Linked DNA regions of Daphnia pulex. The protein of the gene in region 1 interacts with the protein of each later gene in a pairwise test. Links are inferred from orthologs where the notes say so. Each region holds a gene or a part of one and is shown on either strand. Other genes may lie near its edges.

Region 1 (8,679 bases):
TTCCATAGCAGAAATAGGTGAGACACACACATAATCATTGTAGAGTCTAATGTTCTATTTCTATACATAATTTTTTCATCATTAGATGCTATGTGTCGAAAAGCTAAAGTGTTTTTCCACTGTGATGGAGCCCAAGCTCTAGGTAAAATTCCAATTGATGTTGAATCGATGTCAATTGATTTATAAAGGTATTTTACAATTTAATATATGATTGTTATTTCGATGTAATTCACTCTTTTTTCGCATCATTCTTTTCTTGAACTTGAACAAAAGGTGTTGGTGCTCTTTACGTGATAGGCCGACCACGGGTTAGGATTGAAGCTCTGCAAAGTGGAGGTGGTCAGGAATGAGGGATACGTGGTGGAACAGTTCCTACTCCACTGACAGAGTGACAGTTGGTTTTGGCGCAGCATGTGAAGTAGCTCAGCAAGAACTTAAGGTTTTAGTTCATGTCATAGTAGTATCCATACATAACTAATTGATCAAAACCATGTTTTAGTATAATCATGCCAGATTAGTAAACTATCGCAACGCTTGATCGATCAGATTGGTAATAGTTTAACACATGTCGTACGAAATTGAGATCCTGAACACTCCTACCCAGGTTGTGTAAACCTTTCTTTCGCCTACGTCGAGGGAGAAAGTCTTTTCATGGCCCTGAAAGGTAACTTTATATAAAGGCAACTTCCACTACCTTTCATTTTAACTAATTCTTTTTATTACGTAAGACGTGGCACTCTCAAGCGGAAGTACTTGCACCTCAGCATTGCTGGAACTTTCATATATTTTGCGGACCATTGGCGCTGAAGAAGATTTGGCGCATTCTTCTATTCGATTTGGAATTGGGCGATTCACCACCGAAGCTGAGGTTGATTACACGGCAGAAAAGTGTATTCATCAAGTATCACCAAACTTCGAGAAATGAGGTATATACCGACCAGGTTTGGAATTCCCAGACAAAAAGCTTATTTTACTTCCGCTAAAAATGTTAATTTGTCCTTCTTCCTTATTTGTTTATTTTTGTCGAAATGAAAATTTATAAATGCAACGTCGTTCTTTTTTTTTTTTTATGGTCAGTGTTTTAAAAAAGTAGAAGAGTATACAGAGTACAATAAAATAAAAAATTACAGAGTAAAATAAAAAATAACGACAAGAAAATGAAGCACAAGAACAAGACTGCCTAATTCCAAAATTCTTCCAAGATAGCTCTGTCACTTAGCCGAAGGCCAACGCTTGCAACGCGAGCCCTAGTTTCCCTAGCAGACGAAAGCCATGTCTCAAGTTCAGGTGTTTACATCCAGATGGTGCTGCACAACTATTTTAATCCCGTCTGACTTTTCGATGATGGCGGACGACCTTAATGTTGACAGTATTATTTCTCGATTGTTAGAAGGTAAGTCATTATGAATTAAAAATTTTGATTAAAACTAATAGAGCAGTCTGAAAGCTAGGAACTAAGTGGTCTCATTGATACATCTTTTATGCGTTCAATAGCTTCTTAGACTACTTTTTTGGTGTAGAACTGCAAAGGGCTTCAATTTTCAATTTCGAAAATAATGATTACGTTGGCAATTTTGTGACGCTAAACAAATTCTTGAAACCAATATTTCCCCATCTTCTTATTTATATTTAAATGAAACTAAATGGTCTCATTCAATGGTAATAATTTAAGGTTCTATACAACTTGATTAGAGTATTTATATCACATACCCACAGCCTTGTTCCTTGCCCTAAAAATGAAATTGTCATGTGATTACCTGTAAATCAAATTGTTAATCACTAACCATTTTTTTTTATGTGTTTTGTAACAGTGAGAGGATGCCGGCCTGGGAAGTCTGTGCAGATGACAGAGGCTGAAGTTAGGGGCTTGTGTTTAAAATCCAGAGAGATTTTCCTTCAACAGCCAATACTCCTTGAGCTAGAAGCACCCCTGAAAATTTGTGGTATGCACTAATTTTAACAAATTTCATTCTTATTTTTTTTACTTGGGACTTCCAAAGAGGTAGTAAATTATATTTTCTGTTTGGTATTTTCAGGTGATATTCATGGCCAGTATACAGATTTGCTAAGATTGTTTGAGTATGGAGGTTTCCCCCCTGAAGCAAATTATTTATTTCTTGGCGATTACGTGGATCGCGGAAAACAGTCCTTGGAAACCATTTGCCTTCTACTTGCTTATAAAATCAAGTACCCTGAAAATTTCTTCTTATTAAGAGGAAATCACGAATGTGCATCCATCAACAGAATTTATGGCTTTTATGATGAATGTAAGTAACTATCGTTTTCTAAATGGCCATTTTTTAGAGTGATGTATTCTGCTTTATCTTAGGCAAACGGCGGTACAACATTAAACTGTGGAAGACTTTCACCGATTGTTTTAATTGTCTTCCTATCGCCGCCATAATTGACGAGAAAATATTTTGTTGTCACGGCGGCTTAAGTCCCGACCTACAAAACATGGACCAAATCAAACGTATTATGAGGCCGACTGATGTACCTGACACTGGTAAACTTCGACTTGGCTTTTACACCTGAAATATATATAACATCATATGTGGCTGATTTGTTTTACATTCAGGCCTTCTTTGTGACCTGCTGTGGTCCGACCCTGATAAAGACGTGCAAGGATGGTCTGAAAATGACCGCGGCGTTTCCTTCACTTTCGGAGCTGATGTTGTCAGCAAATTTTTGAATCGCCATGACCTTGACTTGATTTGCAGAGCTCATCAGGTCGTAGAAGATGGTTACGAATTTTTTGCCAAACGTCAACTGGTTACTCTCTTTTCTGCGCCAAATTACTGCGGGGAGTTTGACAACGCGGGCGGCATGATGAGCGTTGATGAAACACTTATGTGCTCTTTTCAGGTATTTCTATTGAATGTTTAATATTTGTAACTCAAATTTAAAATTTTTCCAAATTCGTTAGATTTTGAAACCCTCGGAGAAGAAAGCAAAATACCAGTATTCTGGTATCAACGCCACGAAGCCGAACGCAGCTGCCAACAAACCAGTGCCCAAGAAGAAGTAATAGTTAGTAAGAGTTATTGTAAGCTTAATCCTATTGAATTATTTGATCGACTTAACCTTTCAACCGGAATGTGGTGGGAGCCATCAATGCCCAATTTCCCCTTTTTAACAAATTCTTACAACTACTATTTCTGTTGCCCTCGTCACACAATTTGGAGGACAACGTTACTCCTTCGCATGCTTCGTCAGCGTCTTCATTTTTTTCCTCGTTACTTACCACATCTCTTTCTCCCTTCATTTAGTGTATATCCTCTGTAAATCAAACAAATAAACCAACATGATATCAGCAAACTTGAACATGCTTTCCTTGTATGACGCAATGAAACAGTTTACAATTACGTCGGAAAAGATTCAGTCGACAAGCCGCGTTAATGTCAAAGTTCTCAATCCATTAAGCTGACTGTGTATTTCATATGGACAACGAGGCAGTCTTTCTTTAATTTTTAGAGCCAAGAATGTGAAGAGCCAACTCTTCGTCCATAGCCAAATCCAGGCCAGTGTCAAATTTACTGTTCTTAGCTGGTTTCTGTTTCTTAGGTGGCTTCTTCTTGATCCATTTTTGTTTCGTCTTTGTAGGTGTGGGAAGTTCTTCGCTTTCACTCGGTTGTCGCCGTTTCCTAATTATGAGAAAGAATTAATAGAATTCCAACTTGGTTTCAGCCAAATGTTTGTACCTTGTAATCGGGGTAGGCTTGACAGGTGCTTCGTCATTGTCACTTTCACTATCATCTTCACTGTCGTCATCTTCTTCACTCTCGCTCGGCAATCGCGAGCGTTTCCTAAATAAAGACAGAATTACTTTATTGGAACAAACGAAAATTAAATGGGAGATTTCTTACTTTGCAACAGCTGGCCCTCTGTAAACCTCACCTTCTTCTTCGCTATCATCTTCCTTGGCGCCGTAGATGCGATCGGGATCGGGTAAAGCGTCTATAATTTCTCCGACTGAACCATCGACACTCTCGTCACCTTCAGACTCTTCGTCCTCCTCCTCACCTTCGACATTCGTTACTTCTTCTTCCTTCTCTACCCGGTTGGCAAGTCTACGCTCTGCTTTGGCTTTGAGTCGATCTTCGCGATGTTTGGCTTTAATACGCTGACGGAAGATTTCTTTGTCGTATTTATCCTCTTCTTCCATCGCCTTTTTGGCTTCAACCAAATTGATGCCACCAGTAATCGATGTCGAAGCTTCAATTTCGAGAGCTCGGCCAAGCTCGGAAACTTTCTCGCGAGATGCGTCATAAATTCTCTGCAAAATAAACAACAATAAATTATACAACAACACGAAATGGGATCATTCTGTAAAAAATGGGTATTACATTTCCTTCGTCGTCAAAGTTGACAATTTTATTGGCCTTCAGCTTTTTAGCAAGGATTCGTTTGGCAACTTTCTCCTTGGTCAAGATCTTTTCCTTCTTCTTTTTCTCAACACCAATTTCAACCTCCTCCTCCTCGGCTTCTTCGAATCCGGGGAGAGCGTGATTTTGCCGCTTGATTTTGAAAATGCCGTCATCGCTATCGGAATCCTGTAATTCGTCTTCTGCGTGGAAATCGTAAGCTGCTTCCAGGTCGTTTCTTCTCCATTGCTGCTCAGTCGATTGAGCGGCAATAGGCTTCTCGGCTGGGGTGTCATAGTTTGGTTTCAACATTCGAGGAGCTTGTGGAGGCGCAGCCGATTCTGTTGCCTTGAGATGTTTTTGTAGGAAACGGACGCGTGGAGCAAGAGCGAGCCCCAAAGACCGAGCTAAAGCATTCAAATCGATACTAGTGACATCAAAAATCGACTTGTCTTTCATAAGGAAAACTGATTTGGCATAAGTAACAAAAGCCCGTTGGGCCATTTGTTTCAATTCAACATCACGAGCGAGCATGGCTTCGAGTTTCCGCTGAATGGAAACCAATTTCGAAGGATTGACTTCAATTTTCTGAATGGGGATCTTTTTCTGGGCCAACTGCTCAACCATGGCTTCTTCTGAGGGCAGCAGCATCAGCAACGATTCCCCTCCTTTCTGATAACGAGCAGTACGACCGGCTCGGTGGATGTAGCTACTTGGGTCGTCCGGACAATCCATTTGAATTACCCAATCAACATTAGGAAAATCGAGTCCTCGAGCGGCAATGTCTGTGGCGAACAGGACGGCAGTTTGCTTCTCGCAAAACTCTTCGTAGACTGACATGCGTTTCATCTGGTGCATGGTACCATACAAAGCCAATACAGAAAGACCAGGTCGCAGACGAGTAAAAGCTTGATGAATAAATCGAACCTAATTAAAAGGCAATGTTCAAGTTAGTTTGATAATCAACGGCAAATTTTTCAACAAATTACCTGTTTGCAAGAAGTCAAAAAGACAATCAGTTTCTTCTTCCTATGACTCCTAAGAAAAGACCATAAAATGTCGACTTTGTTTTGAATGGGAGTAATGATGTAGCTTTGACGCAAAGACTCGGGTGTGGAGTATTGAGCGTTTTCGTGAACAGAAACGTAAACGGGGTCCTTTAAACTGAGACGAGCGAGATCTTTGACTGATCTGTAATTTACATAAGATATAAAAAGGTGAGCGTAAATTCTAAACGATGAATGTTATCATATTAAATACTTGGTTTGTGTGGCGGAAAACAGCAGAGTTTGCCTCTTTGGGGGTAAATTTTCAATGATACCGTTCATCGTTTGCTGGAATCCCAGATCCAAACAACGATCAGCCTCGTCAATAACCAATATCTGTAGGTTGGAGCAGTCAAAGAGAGGATTTTCATCCATGTGATGAAGGACTCTTCCAGGGGTGCAAATCATGATGTTACATTGGTCTAATCGTTTCCTTTCAAAATTAAGGTCTTTGCCTCCAATGATGAGACCAGCAGAAAAATCATGCTGGATTCCAACCTTCCTGAAAGTCTCAAATATCTGGTATGCCAATTCTCGAGTTGGGGTTATAATTAGGGCACCAAGACCATCTAGTCGAGTCCATTGCATGCAGTACAGTCTTTCAAGAACAGGTATCACAAAGGCAAGGGTTTTTCCACTACCGGTTTTGGCAGCTCCCAATACATCTAGACCTCTTAGGGCAAGAACAATACTCTCTTTTTGGACTTCGGTTGGCGTGGTGTACTCGTTCTGCTGCAGACCTTGCAAGGTTTTCTTGGAAAGCGGAATATCTTTAAATTTTAGTACAGCTGATGTTTCCACTGATGTATAGCGAATTTGCAAATTCTTGATTTCGTGTTGCTCAATGGCACTTGCTTTAACTCGACTTGGGTGTAATTTTCCTTTGGAGTTGTTTTTCTTCTTTGTCTTTTGTGACCCAGGTCCATTTTGTTTGTTGTCATCCGGGGTTTTTGCATTACCATTTGTACTACCACTCTCCATTTTCTTGTTGTAATTTGTTTTTCTTTTATTTGAAATATTTTTGAAAGAAACTAGGTAACTTGAACCATTCAATTCAATAACTAAGTAACTTGCCGTCTTGCCCTGTGTCGAAATTTTTGGGCACCACGAGACAAGCAGACGACAAAAATCTGGTAAGTGCCATCTGGCGATAAATGAAGCATATAAGAAAGTTGGCGGAAAGTTTGAAAAGGTTTCGATTTCATCAAAATTGAATTAAAAAAAAAATAGTTTATTACACTATTTTACAAGGCAATGAGAATAACTAAAAAATAATTAATTTCGTCACGCGTATATTTTTAATCTTTTTTTGTTCAATAAGAGGATGCATCACTTTATTAAAAAGCACCAGATCCCACAAAAAAAAAACACAATTTAATAAAATATAATTTTATTTTGACTATCTTTTTTATTAGCTTTGGTACGTATAAAATTCAGAGCTGAAGAACGAACGGAAGGTCTTCGGACTCATCTAATACACCTGTAACCGAAGAAAGTTCGGGCAATTCCGAGAGAGATACCAATTGAATGTATATTTGCGTCGTGTTGTGATTGTTTTTCATGTCCTTCAACAAGAAAGTTGCGACTTGCACAGCGTGATAGTACTGAGGAATAAATGAGAGATAAGGAAAACACGAGGGAAAACACGGTAAATCGTCGCATTAATCTTGATCTTGTCTGAGATTATCTTGGAGAGAAGGACGCTGTCCAAATGAAATAGAATTCCCAAAAAGCGAGGCCGCAGATAGTCCCCTATACTTTCCACACTTTTGACTTGGCCATGGCTCTTGACGACAGAACTCGACGTAGATGGGACGCGACGTGCTGGGAATGCAACTGGATGAGCAAATCGTTATGAATTGATTGGAAATTTGGTGCCAACACGTGCCCGCAGTTGTGTCAATTTTAGTCGATGAAGTCCAGCACGTTACATGTGATGTGTAGGCAGACAGCAACAATATCTTGAAGAGGGATGTGAAAACAGTCTGCCATGACAGTTTCCTTCCAAAACTGTACCAAAACCGTTGCGCACGTTAAGATGGCTCGTTGAAGAGATGGTAAATTTTTTCAGTCGAAATTTGCGCCACTTTGTGCATTTTCTTGGTGATTGATAAACGAAGGGCTTCGGTTCGAGCAGAATGATAAAGAACCGATATAGAAAAAGATCCACGCGGTGGAGTAGCGAAATATCATTTTCATCAAAGACAAACTCGAGGAAGAAGAGCGCCATATCTTCAGGAACGATGCTTACTTTTAATGATGTAGCAAGATTTTCGAGATTGTGAGTGCACCGTGAACTTAGTCCATCTTCTAGATTATGAACAACATTCATCTTGCTTGATAGAGCACAGACAAGGTCTGCTCCATTTTTTGTTAAAACCCTTATATCTTCTCTAGAACCAGAAGCCAAAATTGTGGTTAAGCATTGTGTTATTGATTTGCGGAACGACTTGCTGTGGCGGATGATCCATTTGATGACTTATGAGTTATGACTTTGATGAACATTTGCGTCGCTGCATTTGTGATAGCGAGTGAAATAGCGCGAGTTTCTTGCAATGGCTGCACTTCTACTAGAAATAGAGGTGCGCTTTCCCTCCAATTCTTTTTGATTTTTTTCCAAAGCTTACACTAACGCGATCGACGACAAAAAAATATTAAAAAATAGAGCAGGTCTTAAAGATTAACACATATTTATTTCAAATAAACACAAATGTCTTTCATGCAATAATAAAATAAAGAAAAACGTAGTCCCTTAAGGCCCCTGTGAACTGTGGCGGCGGGTTTTTTTGGGGGAGCAGAAGTAGGGAAGAATGGGGCTAAAAGGCCTGGAGGCAGGTCGCTCTTTTCTAATTATTTACAGTACGGTATCCTACAAAAAAATCCGAACACAGCTCTTTTTCTAAAGCCCAGTTCAATGTATATTTTTTGTTTTTAACTTTGAAGACTTCCCATTATATGTAGAATTAATTGTTTTACAAAGTTCATTTATAAGAATTAAGAAAAAAATGCCGAAATATTTTTTTTTATATAAAAAAAAAGACCAAGGTGTTCAGGTTACTACCTACCCGAAGTTTGGGAACGCGCAAGCGCGAGCGAGAAAATCTTATGGGAAATTGCGTTTTTTCTCGGCGTTCCCAAAAATCAAATTTTTGTCGGATCGCGACGAAATTTTTTTGGCCGTAGCCATTACTGATAGCATTAAAGAATTTTTTTTTAGATTTCTTCGATAAAGGGAAATTTAGGTTTAAAATGGATCCCTAAGTTTGGGA
Region 2 (5,924 bases), on another chromosome or scaffold:
ATAAAGGGCGGGGTCATAAAGGGTGTGATATAAACCCTACATTAACCCCCAATGAGCCCTGATGATGGCGAATTTGGTCGTTACGATACTACCTTTTATTTCTTCTTCTTTCTTCTCTTTATAACTAATAATCGATCATTGCGCTGGTTAGCAGAGGCTGTTTTGTCTACCAATGGCAATCCGATCCGCTTCGGAATGGAGCGGTGTAAGTGCTAGTGGATTGTACGTCCTTTTGAGGAGCAGTACGCGGGAGTAACCAACTCCAAGGCAGTACATGCCGTCATGACCAAATAATAATGAAAATTGATGCACTACAGATAACAATAAATATGAATAACTTGACACATGAAACCCACAGGATCTGTTGACTCGGCCGTTTTGAAGAACCATATAGTAACGTTACTCCTTTATTACTCTTTGCAATCACAACAGCGTTGCTGCAGGACAGTTCGCTGTTTATGGACGCACTGGAAGCTGGATCGAAAACGTCTACTGAACCACGCAAGAGAAAGCGATCCGCTAAAGATGGACCTGAACTCCCACCACCTCCCCAACAACCTATCGTCGTTCCCACCATCAAGCAAGAAGCACCTGCCACTCCTCCCGTCACTCTGGCTGGCCCAGTTGTCGCCCCAAGGGAGGAAACATCACCGATACCAATGAAACCCATGTTCAATGTAATTATTATTTTTAACAAAAATTCGAAGTTAAGAATTTTAATTATTTTTTTATGCCCCAATCAGTTCTATCAGGACACACTCGAAACGGATGGCGGCATAAAGGAAGAAGAAAAGACGGACACGGTTGTCGCTTCAACCGATACCAAAGAACCGAAAGAGGAATGTCCCGAGAGTCCGTCGGCAGAGAAAGAAGTTCGTGTGAAAACGGAAGTTGATGGTGAGGAGAATGAAGAAGCCAGTTCTCGTGACAGCAGCAAAACGGACATGGCCGGTGAAGAATCTCCCCCTTCACAATCGGACAGCGGAAAACCAAAAGGCGTTCTGGTCCTCCATGCACATCAGAAGAGGCGGCCCAAAAAAGTCCTTCAATGGCGACCGGAAGAAGAATTGGAGATGCATCACTATTTTGAACTCGACGAAACGGAAAGAGGTATGCCACCCCTTAGGGTTCATTATTTGTTTTTGTTTGTACATTTTCCTTATAATTTATTTGAATTGCAGTCAACGTGAACAAATTGCTTTTCGGTGAGATGAAACAAGCCGAGAAAGAACGGGAGAAACAATCGATTCTTATGTCTAAGACTATGGGTAAGTGAATCATTTCATTCGTTTTGATTTCTTTAAGAAATTTAATGATTGGATTGTATGTAGTTGAAGAACCAGAGGTTGAAGAGAATCCTTGGAGAGGGTTGTTGCCTATCGATAATCTCGAAGACCGTGTCATTTTCGGGGAAAACAGTCAAGAGCGGGAGATTCAAGCCGCCAGAGAAAGCTCCACTCTTCAGGCCCTGTACTTTAAAGGCCAATTGTAAGTGTTGATAATCAAGTCGTGGGAAGATAAAAAGGTCTTAATTTAATTGATGTGCTTTCAAATGAAATAGGCTTCCAGATTCCCCAATCGAGGCTGATCCTGAAGTACCACTGGAACGAACAGACAGCGCACCAACCGTTATTCCATTAGACGACGTGACGGGCAATCCCGAAAGCGTCTACGATCACCGGCATCTGCCGTGGCCCGAGCCTAAAACAATGCGGCCCCATAATAGTGCGCCCTTCTCTGGACCCCACCAAGCCCCCATGCCGGCAGCATATCAGTCCCATCATCAGCCTCTTCATCCACAACAATACAGTGGCCCCGGTTATCGAAGTGGCCCACCTGCTGGTCCTGGACCGGTTGATCCATATTACTCGGATCGTGGTCCAATGCACGATGATCACTATGGACACGGAGGATTGGGCGACGTTCCTATGCACGAAGGACACGGAGACATTCCCCATCACGGGGGACCACCTATGCATCACCATCCAGGTGGTAGAGGTGGTCCTCCAGGAGGACCCCGCGGAGAAGTAGGAGGAACTTGGATGGTAAATAACGCAATCTAATGACAACTGTCTACAGATTTATCCTTGAATTGTCTGCTTATTGTTTCACCAGGCTGGCGATGGATCAATTTATCCCGACCACGACGTGTCACAACGGTACAATGATGGACCTCCGCAGCACCGAGATGGGCCACCTCATCACCGTGAAGGATTTCATCATCACCGAGAACGTGAACATGCTCATCCCCGTGATCGAGGAGGTCACGGCTATAATGGTAAATGTTGCTCTTATCAATTAATCCGTTTCTGTCGTGTGTTTTACTAAACATTTGTTTACTTTTTCATTTTTCAGATATGATGGGAGGTCCAAATTCCGGATTCATGCACCCTCGCGGTATGGGTATGGACGGACCGAGACCTAGATTCCATGGACCGCCGAGAGGTGGCGGTGGAGGTCGGCCGGGAGGACCACCTTCCGCTCGTGGCGGTCCCTCAAACCAGCCGTGCTGGCACTTTATGAGAGGATTCTGCCGTTTAGAAAATCGTTGCAAATTTCTTCATCCCAATAACTATAACGGCGCGCCAATGCCTTAATAACAGTGAAAAAAAAAACCAACACATCTTATTAGAAGTTCTAGCCATTTTGTACATTTAATGGGTCGGTACTGTGCCGTTCCCTCTCTGTATAGTGTTTTATAACGAGCTCGAAAATCAATGTGATTTTGTTTAGTTTCTAGTTTGTTCCACTTTATTTTTTTCTTCTTTCAACATGTGATGCCTTTTATTAGGCTGCATTCCCTCGCCGCCATTATGCTTGCAATGAATAATGTAAAGTGTATTTAAAAAGAGACGATGAAAGAAAACTGGGTGCAGTGGGAAAATAGTAAGCTACTTAAAGCTTATCTCGTCCGTCTTTGTATGATTGTATGTCATCAAATTGTACATTTCATTGAAGTCTTTCTGGCTGCATATAAATTGATTTCTACTTGGTGTTTGTTATAATATAACATTAAGCGTGAGTGCAGGAGAGTCAATAGTTGCTTTAAAGGTTCATTAGCTCATGGATCGATGCATTGATTGAGTGCAAGAACGGAAGAACCCATAACCGGAAACGTGGTTAGAATTCTATTAGCTAGTTAGCGACGAGCCCTCCTGGAACTCACTAAGTTATTCATTGTAATTACAAGCTCTTCCAATATACAGTTTATCAGATTTGTTTTTATAATGCCAATAAAACGTCATTCACGTCACATGGGTGATAAATTGGTAGCCCTAATTGCTAATTTGTCGTCTCCCGCGCCACCCACCGAATGAAATTATTAGAAGCTCGCTGGCGCGTCGCTGGGTCAGAGCAATAGATCCCGGCTGGGTGTTCCCTGTTGTTTTGTAAACATTATTGGCGCGTGGACTAACCACAGATAACGAGGCATTGGTCTTTTCCTTCAATTGACATTTGTATTTTTGTTTTAACGCAATCGACTCGCCAAACAATAATGGATTTTGAAACATTAAACAAGCTGAAATCGTCTGGTAATTAATTTTAGAAAACAGTCTTGTTTTATTTCTTATTCATATTCTCCTGGCTTTAACAATTCAGTATTCTCTTTTTCATGTATTGACTTTTGCAACTTGCAGATTTTAATTAACATGACATTTTGTTTTTGCAGGAACTGTTGTTGGGCTTGGCAATGAAACTGCTAGACCAGCCTGTAAAAAATGCGGCTATCCAGGACATTTGACATTTCAGTGTAGAAATTTTCTTTCAACGAATCCTGCTAGTGGTGTGGTTTTGGATGTGAGCAGCACAAGTAGTGAAGAAGACGACATGACCACACCGCTGACAATGCTGAGAGCTGAAGAACTCAAGGCACTTCAAGAAAAGCTGAAAGAGAGAGAAAAAGAAAAGAAACTTAAAAGGAAATCCAAGCACAAGAAAAAGGAGAAGAAAAAGAGAAGCAGAAAAGATTCTACCTCATCATCTACTTCTAGTGATTCATCTGATTCTTCAGACTCTTCAGACGATGACAAGAAGAAGAAGAAGAAAAAATCCAAGAAACACAGAAAATCCAAGCACAAGAAATCTAAAAAGGAAGATTTGTAATATGTTGTGAATTTTCAATTAACATAGGGAAAAGGGGAATCATGTACGGGTTCTGTATCTCTTCTTCTTGTGTTGGATTCAGTTGCCCATTTCAGTTTTTTATGACTCTTGAAGTGACATCCCAGGGGAAATCTATGTAACACCCATGTGCTCAACAAGCATCATCTACCACCATCCCTGAACATCTCGCCCCTTTGCAAGCACATTAAAAAAGAAGAAAAAAAAGTAATAAAAAAGAAAAAAAAGGAGAATTCATATCCATGCGCATTACGTCAGCTTTATTAAATAGCTATAGATCAAACAGATGGGGCCATATAAATAACACTGCGGACGTGTTTGGGGATCTAAGGCTGTGTGCCTATATATTCGGCATGCCGCAAATAATCGTGGTTAATGTTCACCCCGATAGTATGTTTCGTTTCACGAGGAATTAACTACCAATTTGATGAAATTATAGTGTTTTCATGCAGTAATAACTGGTTCAATAATTCGTTTGCTAAACTTGTTAACAACCTGTAATTAGGGTGATTTTTACTTTTTTAAGTTTGGCACAAAAGTGGCCATTTCAAAGAATTGCAACGCCGTCTGCTAGTTTGAGTGCACACACACACGAGAAAGTTTTTAGCGATGTGTTTTTCTTTTCGTCTGGTGAATGTAATAACTTTTGAATTTTTGATGTTTGAATATCGTTCTGAAGCGATCAATAACATGCAGCCTGAAAGAGTGAATGCTGAATAAGTGATCTCTTCATGGGATTCTACTTTCTGTTGAAAGCCTGTTGACAGAAAACGTTCGCCGACCCGATCTGACTGCCGACTGCCATGCCGTTTTTCAATGGCCGATCGAACAAGTAAGTTCCTACTGCTCTACCACTTTCCGTTATCCTGTAATTTCCAAGTGCTCTACATAAATTCAATTTCGATAGTGTTGGTTTCGTAACTGAAAAGTAACAATAGCTCGCCAATTACGAATGTCAGGTTATGTGTATAGATGAAAGCAAGGTGCAATCGGAGCAGGAAATCGAGTTGGTACATTCAGAGTTATTCTCCATCTGTTTCTTCTCACACGTCGGAAATGGAATATGAAAAGCGACTTTTTCTCTCTATATACATGTTGTGTCTCATCCGGGTGTGTTGGAAGGCCAAAATACAATCACAGCAAAATGGCGCCTGCGACAGCTGGCCAAACGCTGACCGGAAGCATAGAGATGTGCTAATCTTTTTTCACATCCTAAACGTCATCAGACACGGAACAAGTCTTCTCCCCCCTTTTCACAGTAGAAGCCCAAAGTGATACTTGTTCCGGCAGATAGGAAATGAATAACGCACGTCTGTCACAGTACATAGTACAGCCAACGGTTGTCTATACACACACACGCTAGGTCGTAGGTTGACATTATTCGGGGCTCTCGATTCAATCAAATGGATTTTTGTCGATTGCATCTACGATAAGCTCCTCTGTTCGTTACGTCAGAAAAAGGAATCCATTTCATCGTCAAATAAAATAAGAAAAAAGAATTTCCAACGTAAAAGTAATAACCGGACGAAAATGTAGTACATCTTCTTCCTTTTTTGGAAATGAAAATGGCTTCTTCATTCTTTTTCAAATATTTTTCTGACTTGAACGGGCGTTGGTAAAGAGAGGCGCTTTTCAATTGTGTAATGCACGCTCTCTCGGCGGGAGTCACTTTTTTTTTCTATTATTCCGCCGTTTTTCCTTTTTTTCAATGCGCTTTTTGTGCAGTTTTTGTTTTTAGACTTTTTTCAATGGGAAAGAAAAGGTCGAGAGAGTGACAGTACCATCTGGCGAGTTGAGATGGT
Region 3 (4,571 bases), on another chromosome or scaffold:
GGAATTTTCAAGAAGAAAAGAAGGAAAATAAAATAAAGACACAAACAAAGGTATAAACAAATTTTACCTCTTTGGTCCAAGGTCCCTTAACCAGCTGAGGATTGACGACTTTTGTCCATCGGTGTTGGCATTGAACGTCCGATCGATCTTCAAAGAAGGAGGCTACGTTCTCCCAAATTTCACCGGTGCGTTCCACAACTCCTTTAAGTTTTTCATCCTACAAAAAGGGCAAGAAAATCATTAACTCTACAAGACTTGGGGCTGAAAGTTGAAGGGGTAGGTAGTGGGCGGGGGAGGCAAACTCACTTCGTCCTTGGTCCATCTCCCGCGGTTCACCATTTTTCTGGCTTGGGCACCTCCTTTGGTTTTTGTAGCAACCCGGGAGGTGGCTGTTGAACTCGCTTGGTGGTGTTGGGCGCTGCTGGAGGCAGTGGCGGCGCCGTTCGGCTGATATTCACCATCTGAAATATCCGATCCAAAGTCCTCGCCATAATCCGAGCCCCAACTGTTGCTATCAGCGTCCATTCCAAAGTCGTTCATCTCGTCTACTTGGCAGGTCTAAAAAATCACACAATTTTCTGGGTTATTATTTCACGTCTTACGGTACAGGTATGCGTTGACAATGGCTCCAGTTCGCCCATTCAAATTCCTACGGTAGGGTTTTGGACAATGAATGGATTGCAAATGGAAAAGAAAGTTCTTCACGCTCTTGTGTGCACATGGTTGCAAGGGAGATTATCCGGCGACATGACTCAGAATACATTAGCTCTGTACTGTAAAAAGACCGAAGTAGAGGAATAATAGAAGAAGAAAAAAAACAGTAGACGACTGGGCTCCACTGCAAAGACGGAATATTTTCTTCCGTCTCCAAATTCACCCTCGTCGCTCTTATTCGATCTCACATTTCTTTGCCTGATAAAAGGAATGTTTCCCTATGGTGGGTGGCGCGATCTAGAACCTCGAAGAATCTCTCAAGAGAGAAAGCCAGGGGGACGGATCGATAACCGTGGGACAGGCACAAGGTCTTTCATAATCGGCCATGAGTGAAAGAAAAAGAGGAAGTCTACCACTACGACGCTGTATGCACGCCGGCATTGAACATCTGCTACAGCTGCTGCCCCTCTCTTCTGAATTCAGCCCCCCTCGCTCGATTCCAACACAATCTCCCCTCTCTCTGCAAGCAAAAAACCCTTGTGTTCCAACATAAGAGAGCAACTTTTATTTTGATGCCATCTCGACGTCCATATTTACCCCTCGTATATAAAAAAATAGACGGCGTCGCTTGTTCTGTGCTCTCTTGACCTCTTTTGCTGGGACTACACAGTGAATCAAACTTAAAGCTTGTCGATGGTACCCCCCAACTTGCCCGGAACTAAATAAAGACAATGCCGTATACGGGCGCGCCTGTGTTTAGCCATCAAGCAGCTGCTGTCACCCCCCTATACAAATCAGCCTTCACTCTAGTGGAGGGGAAACCAGGTCTAACACAATTATCGGGCAGGTGGTCAGCACCAACATGAAGCGAATTCCCTATTAAGATCAAAGTGATAGATGTGCTTTTCGGTAATAATGAAAGACCCGTGCCAGAAGGACAATGGAAAACGACGAACAAACGTAGACGTCTCGAAGAAATGCTAATGACCAATGGAGAGAGGCCCGACTTTCCATTTTTGGAAACAAAATGCTGAAACCAAAACTTGCTTCAGAAATGTTTACCAATTTCGAAGAAATTAGGAAATGAAATGGACTGTCGGAATAAGAGTTACTTTCCATTGGGGAAACGATAACTTTTGAAATTGAATTAAAGATTTCAAGATAATAAGAATCACTTCACAGAAAAAAAACCGGCTTTGTTCTTATCTCGGTTATCTTTGACTCCCAAACACCGATTTTTTTAAAGTTTTTTTTTCTACCTGCAGACAAGACAATTGAAACCATATTCTTCTATCGGTTTGGATTAAAAGAGGTAAAACTCTTTGTCCAGGCGAGACTAAGACCTTTTCAGCTCTCCTGAGAATTTAAACATAAAAAAGGGTATACCTGCTTAAGTAAAAAAATCGCCAGAAAGTCGACAACAGACTTGACTTATTTTTCTGAAATTGCAATACAACTTTTCGAAAATTTCTTTGTCCTAAGAGAAAACTAGCATCAAAAGAAAGCGAAAACTCTGTCCAGACTGGGCCAAACGCACAACTCGAAAAGTCTGCTTTGTTGCTATAATCGTCCCCACCACTTGTGGAGGGAAACAAGGCATGCTAGATAGAGATTTCACGTTTTACCTTGAGTATTGAATCGTAGTTGGCAACGGGTCGGGTAAATGAGTGATGTTTTACCTCACCATGGTGAGATGATTGTAAACAAATCCACAGAATCTCACGACACTACTGTTTCGTTTCAATTACTTAGCACTGTTTTCAGAAAGCGGACACACCGCAGCTGTATGTTTTGAGCGACTACTAGGGAATGGCGGCCATTGGAGTTCCATGAGGCGGGAAGCCTTGTTGTCAGTACCCTTCCCCTTTTTTGAAAAAAAATGGCGCCCAAGCTTGGGGATGAGGAGCGTCGCCTATTGGTTCGCATTGTTTAAGCTTTCTGATTGGCTGGCTTTACGCAATTCAAAAGTTTAATAACAGATGGCGGAGCTGATTACGATTGGCAACAGCTAAGATAAAAATAAAACTAGACAAAATATAATACTGCATCTATGCACTCGTTTTTACTTATCTTTGTATGAACTCATCTTATATTCTGCATTTGAAATTGATAAAATGTCTATTTCAATGGGTTTTTTCATCTTGAAAATGAGATTAGGTGCGATGATTTTGTTTTCTAATTTGCGCTCGCGTTAAGGAAACGCTAACATGACTAAAATCATTAAATATTAATTTCAAAAATTGTTAGGAAGTATAACTTTTCGAACAAATGGAAAGATAAGATGACTAACCGAAGTTTATTGGTATTTAGACGAGGGAAAATGTTTTCTCTCAAAAGATAAGGAAGAGGGGAATGGCAACCAGTATATAGAACCTTTGTGATAACAACAGAGTAACAAAATTTTTGGATAGCAGCAATAAGAAAAGCCACTACTTCATTGTTATACAAATATTACAAAGCCAAATCACATTTCGGTTACAGCTGTCGCATCAGCATCAGCCAAAGAAATCGCCATTTACGGATGAACGACTTGAAACCAAAGTTCCACTATACAGGGAACTCCTTGACCTGAAGATTCTCGATGTAAGATTGGGATTAGCGATGAATCCAGTTCCTCGACACATGCATTCGGCAGGGAGGTTTGTCCGGCTCCTGCTTGATATTCCACCTAGACAAAGCCGAACATGGTGGATGATTTGATATTTTAAGAGAAAAAGGTATAATCTAATTTACCGAATCTCCGTCCAAAGAAACACGTAGCCCAATCAAAGTGTGAGGCTCGAGGCTTGCGAGTTTGGCGGCCAGAGCCACTGATGCAGCTTTGGCCAAAGTTTCAGCGAAACGTGTGATGTCTCCATTATCCTCAATTCTATTAGAGGAAGAGCGTGCACTGTCCTCTATTTGAATAACAAAAAGTTCTGTCCAACGCAAAAGTCTATGACCCTCGCCTTTAAAGTCACGCGGCTGCATCACTCGAATCGATGATATCCCAGTGAAGCTTCGACCATCGATAGGAGATTGAACTCTTTATCAAACAAGCAATTGTTAATTTACAAAATTTTCAAACAATATGCATTGATAAATTACCCTAGATTAACAGGAGATGGTTCTTGATCTACCCATTTAAGTGTAACCGTTTCTTCCGGTTGATCATCGATTATTTTCCCGCATTGGATAGTGTAATTCTCCATTCGAATTAGTGCTTGTTTTAGATTACTGAGCATATCTGGAAGGAGTTGTACCATAACTCCATCTTCAACAATCGAAGAGCGACCACTTATACCACTGGAGCTTTTCAAAGCACCATTTAATACTAAGAAACTTGCTCCAGTAACTACGCAAGGGAAGAAAAAAATCAGTAATTCTTTTAATTATATTATAAAATACCGAATAACTAACCTTTTCGTGGCCGTGTGTGGATGTTAATCGCTTGAGTTTGATAAGATCCATCATCCAATTGAAGACAAACGAGATGAGCATCTGCTTGAGGACTGAACGATGCTGCAAGTGAAATGACATGATCGTTAGACTGGGCTAGTGCTTTACACACTTGCTGATAACGAGATTTCGGTAAAAGAATGTTAGTTTCTTTTTCTTCCATGTGTACAACAAGGCCGGCCACCGCCGGTAAGCTGTAGCTAAAGTTCCTCATGTCCTGGAATGGAGGGAAGAGAAAACAAACAGTTAGTAATAGAAATATTTGGAAATTGCACGAAGTAATTACAGCCAAAAGATTGACGATAGTATGCCCAACTTCGCCGAAAACTGATTTGCGTTTGCGGACGCTGAATAGCGGACAAGGATAATAGCGGAACTCCGCACCCAGCCGCAACAAAAGTCGTAATGGAAACACTTTAGCCCAAGGAATCTCCCAACGTTGTAGTAATACTGCCACAAGATAAGGAGGAGTTGGTAAA

What was found. The genes of interacting proteins can lie anywhere in the genome.
Region 2: the proteins of serine/threonine-protein phosphatase PP1-beta catalytic subunit (region 1) and serine/threonine-protein phosphatase 1 regulatory subunit 10-like interact in a two-hybrid assay, tested with the Drosophila melanogaster proteins (2 studies listed by BioGRID). The link is inferred for Daphnia pulex from reciprocal best matches to the Drosophila melanogaster genes flw and PNUTS.
Region 3: the proteins of serine/threonine-protein phosphatase PP1-beta catalytic subunit (region 1) and zinc finger FYVE domain-containing protein 9-like interact in a two-hybrid assay, tested with the Drosophila melanogaster proteins (2 studies listed by BioGRID). The link is inferred for Daphnia pulex from reciprocal best matches to the Drosophila melanogaster genes flw and Sara.

What each region holds. Positions count from the first base shown.
Region 1 is NC_060021.1:5,447,392-5,456,070, reverse strand, and holds serine/threonine-protein phosphatase PP1-beta catalytic subunit, read left to right. Parts: upstream 1-1,254; 5' UTR 1,255-1,272; coding exon 1,273-1,393; intron 1,394-1,456; exon of another isoform or gene 1,457-1,643; coding exon of another isoform or gene 1,644-1,659; intron 1,660-1,811; coding exon 1,812-1,943; intron 1,944-2,036; coding exon 2,037-2,267; intron 2,268-2,329; coding exon 2,330-2,506; intron 2,507-2,578; coding exon 2,579-2,865; intron 2,866-2,926; coding exon 2,927-3,028; 3' UTR 3,029-3,318; downstream 3,319-8,679. Other genes in the region: probable ATP-dependent RNA helicase DDX10, read right to left, coding at 3,464-3,644, 3,702-3,806, 3,867-4,276, 4,347-5,291, 5,354-5,555, 5,625-6,391. UniProt on the Drosophila melanogaster protein: Required for cell adhesion in non-muscle tissues and in maintenance of muscle attachment. Vital for larval development.
Region 2 is NC_060017.1:4,411,313-4,417,236, forward strand, and holds the end of serine/threonine-protein phosphatase 1 regulatory subunit 10-like, read left to right. Parts: intron 1-432; coding exon 433-677; intron 678-743; coding exon 744-1,110; intron 1,111-1,181; coding exon 1,182-1,268; intron 1,269-1,331; coding exon 1,332-1,488; intron 1,489-1,561; coding exon 1,562-2,045; intron 2,046-2,115; coding exon 2,116-2,278; intron 2,279-2,355; coding exon 2,356-2,597; 3' UTR 2,598-2,993; downstream 2,994-5,924. Other genes in the region: protein SREK1IP1-like, read left to right, coding at 3,497-3,533, 3,671-4,104.
Region 3 is NC_060022.1:6,348,993-6,353,563, reverse strand, and holds the end of zinc finger FYVE domain-containing protein 9-like, read right to left. Parts: coding exon 4,054-4,571; intron 3,989-4,053; coding exon 3,742-3,988; intron 3,680-3,741; coding exon 3,388-3,679; intron 3,323-3,387; coding exon 3,170-3,322; 3' UTR 2,932-3,169; downstream 1-2,931. Other genes in the region: myb-related protein A-like, read right to left, coding at 68-217, 307-540.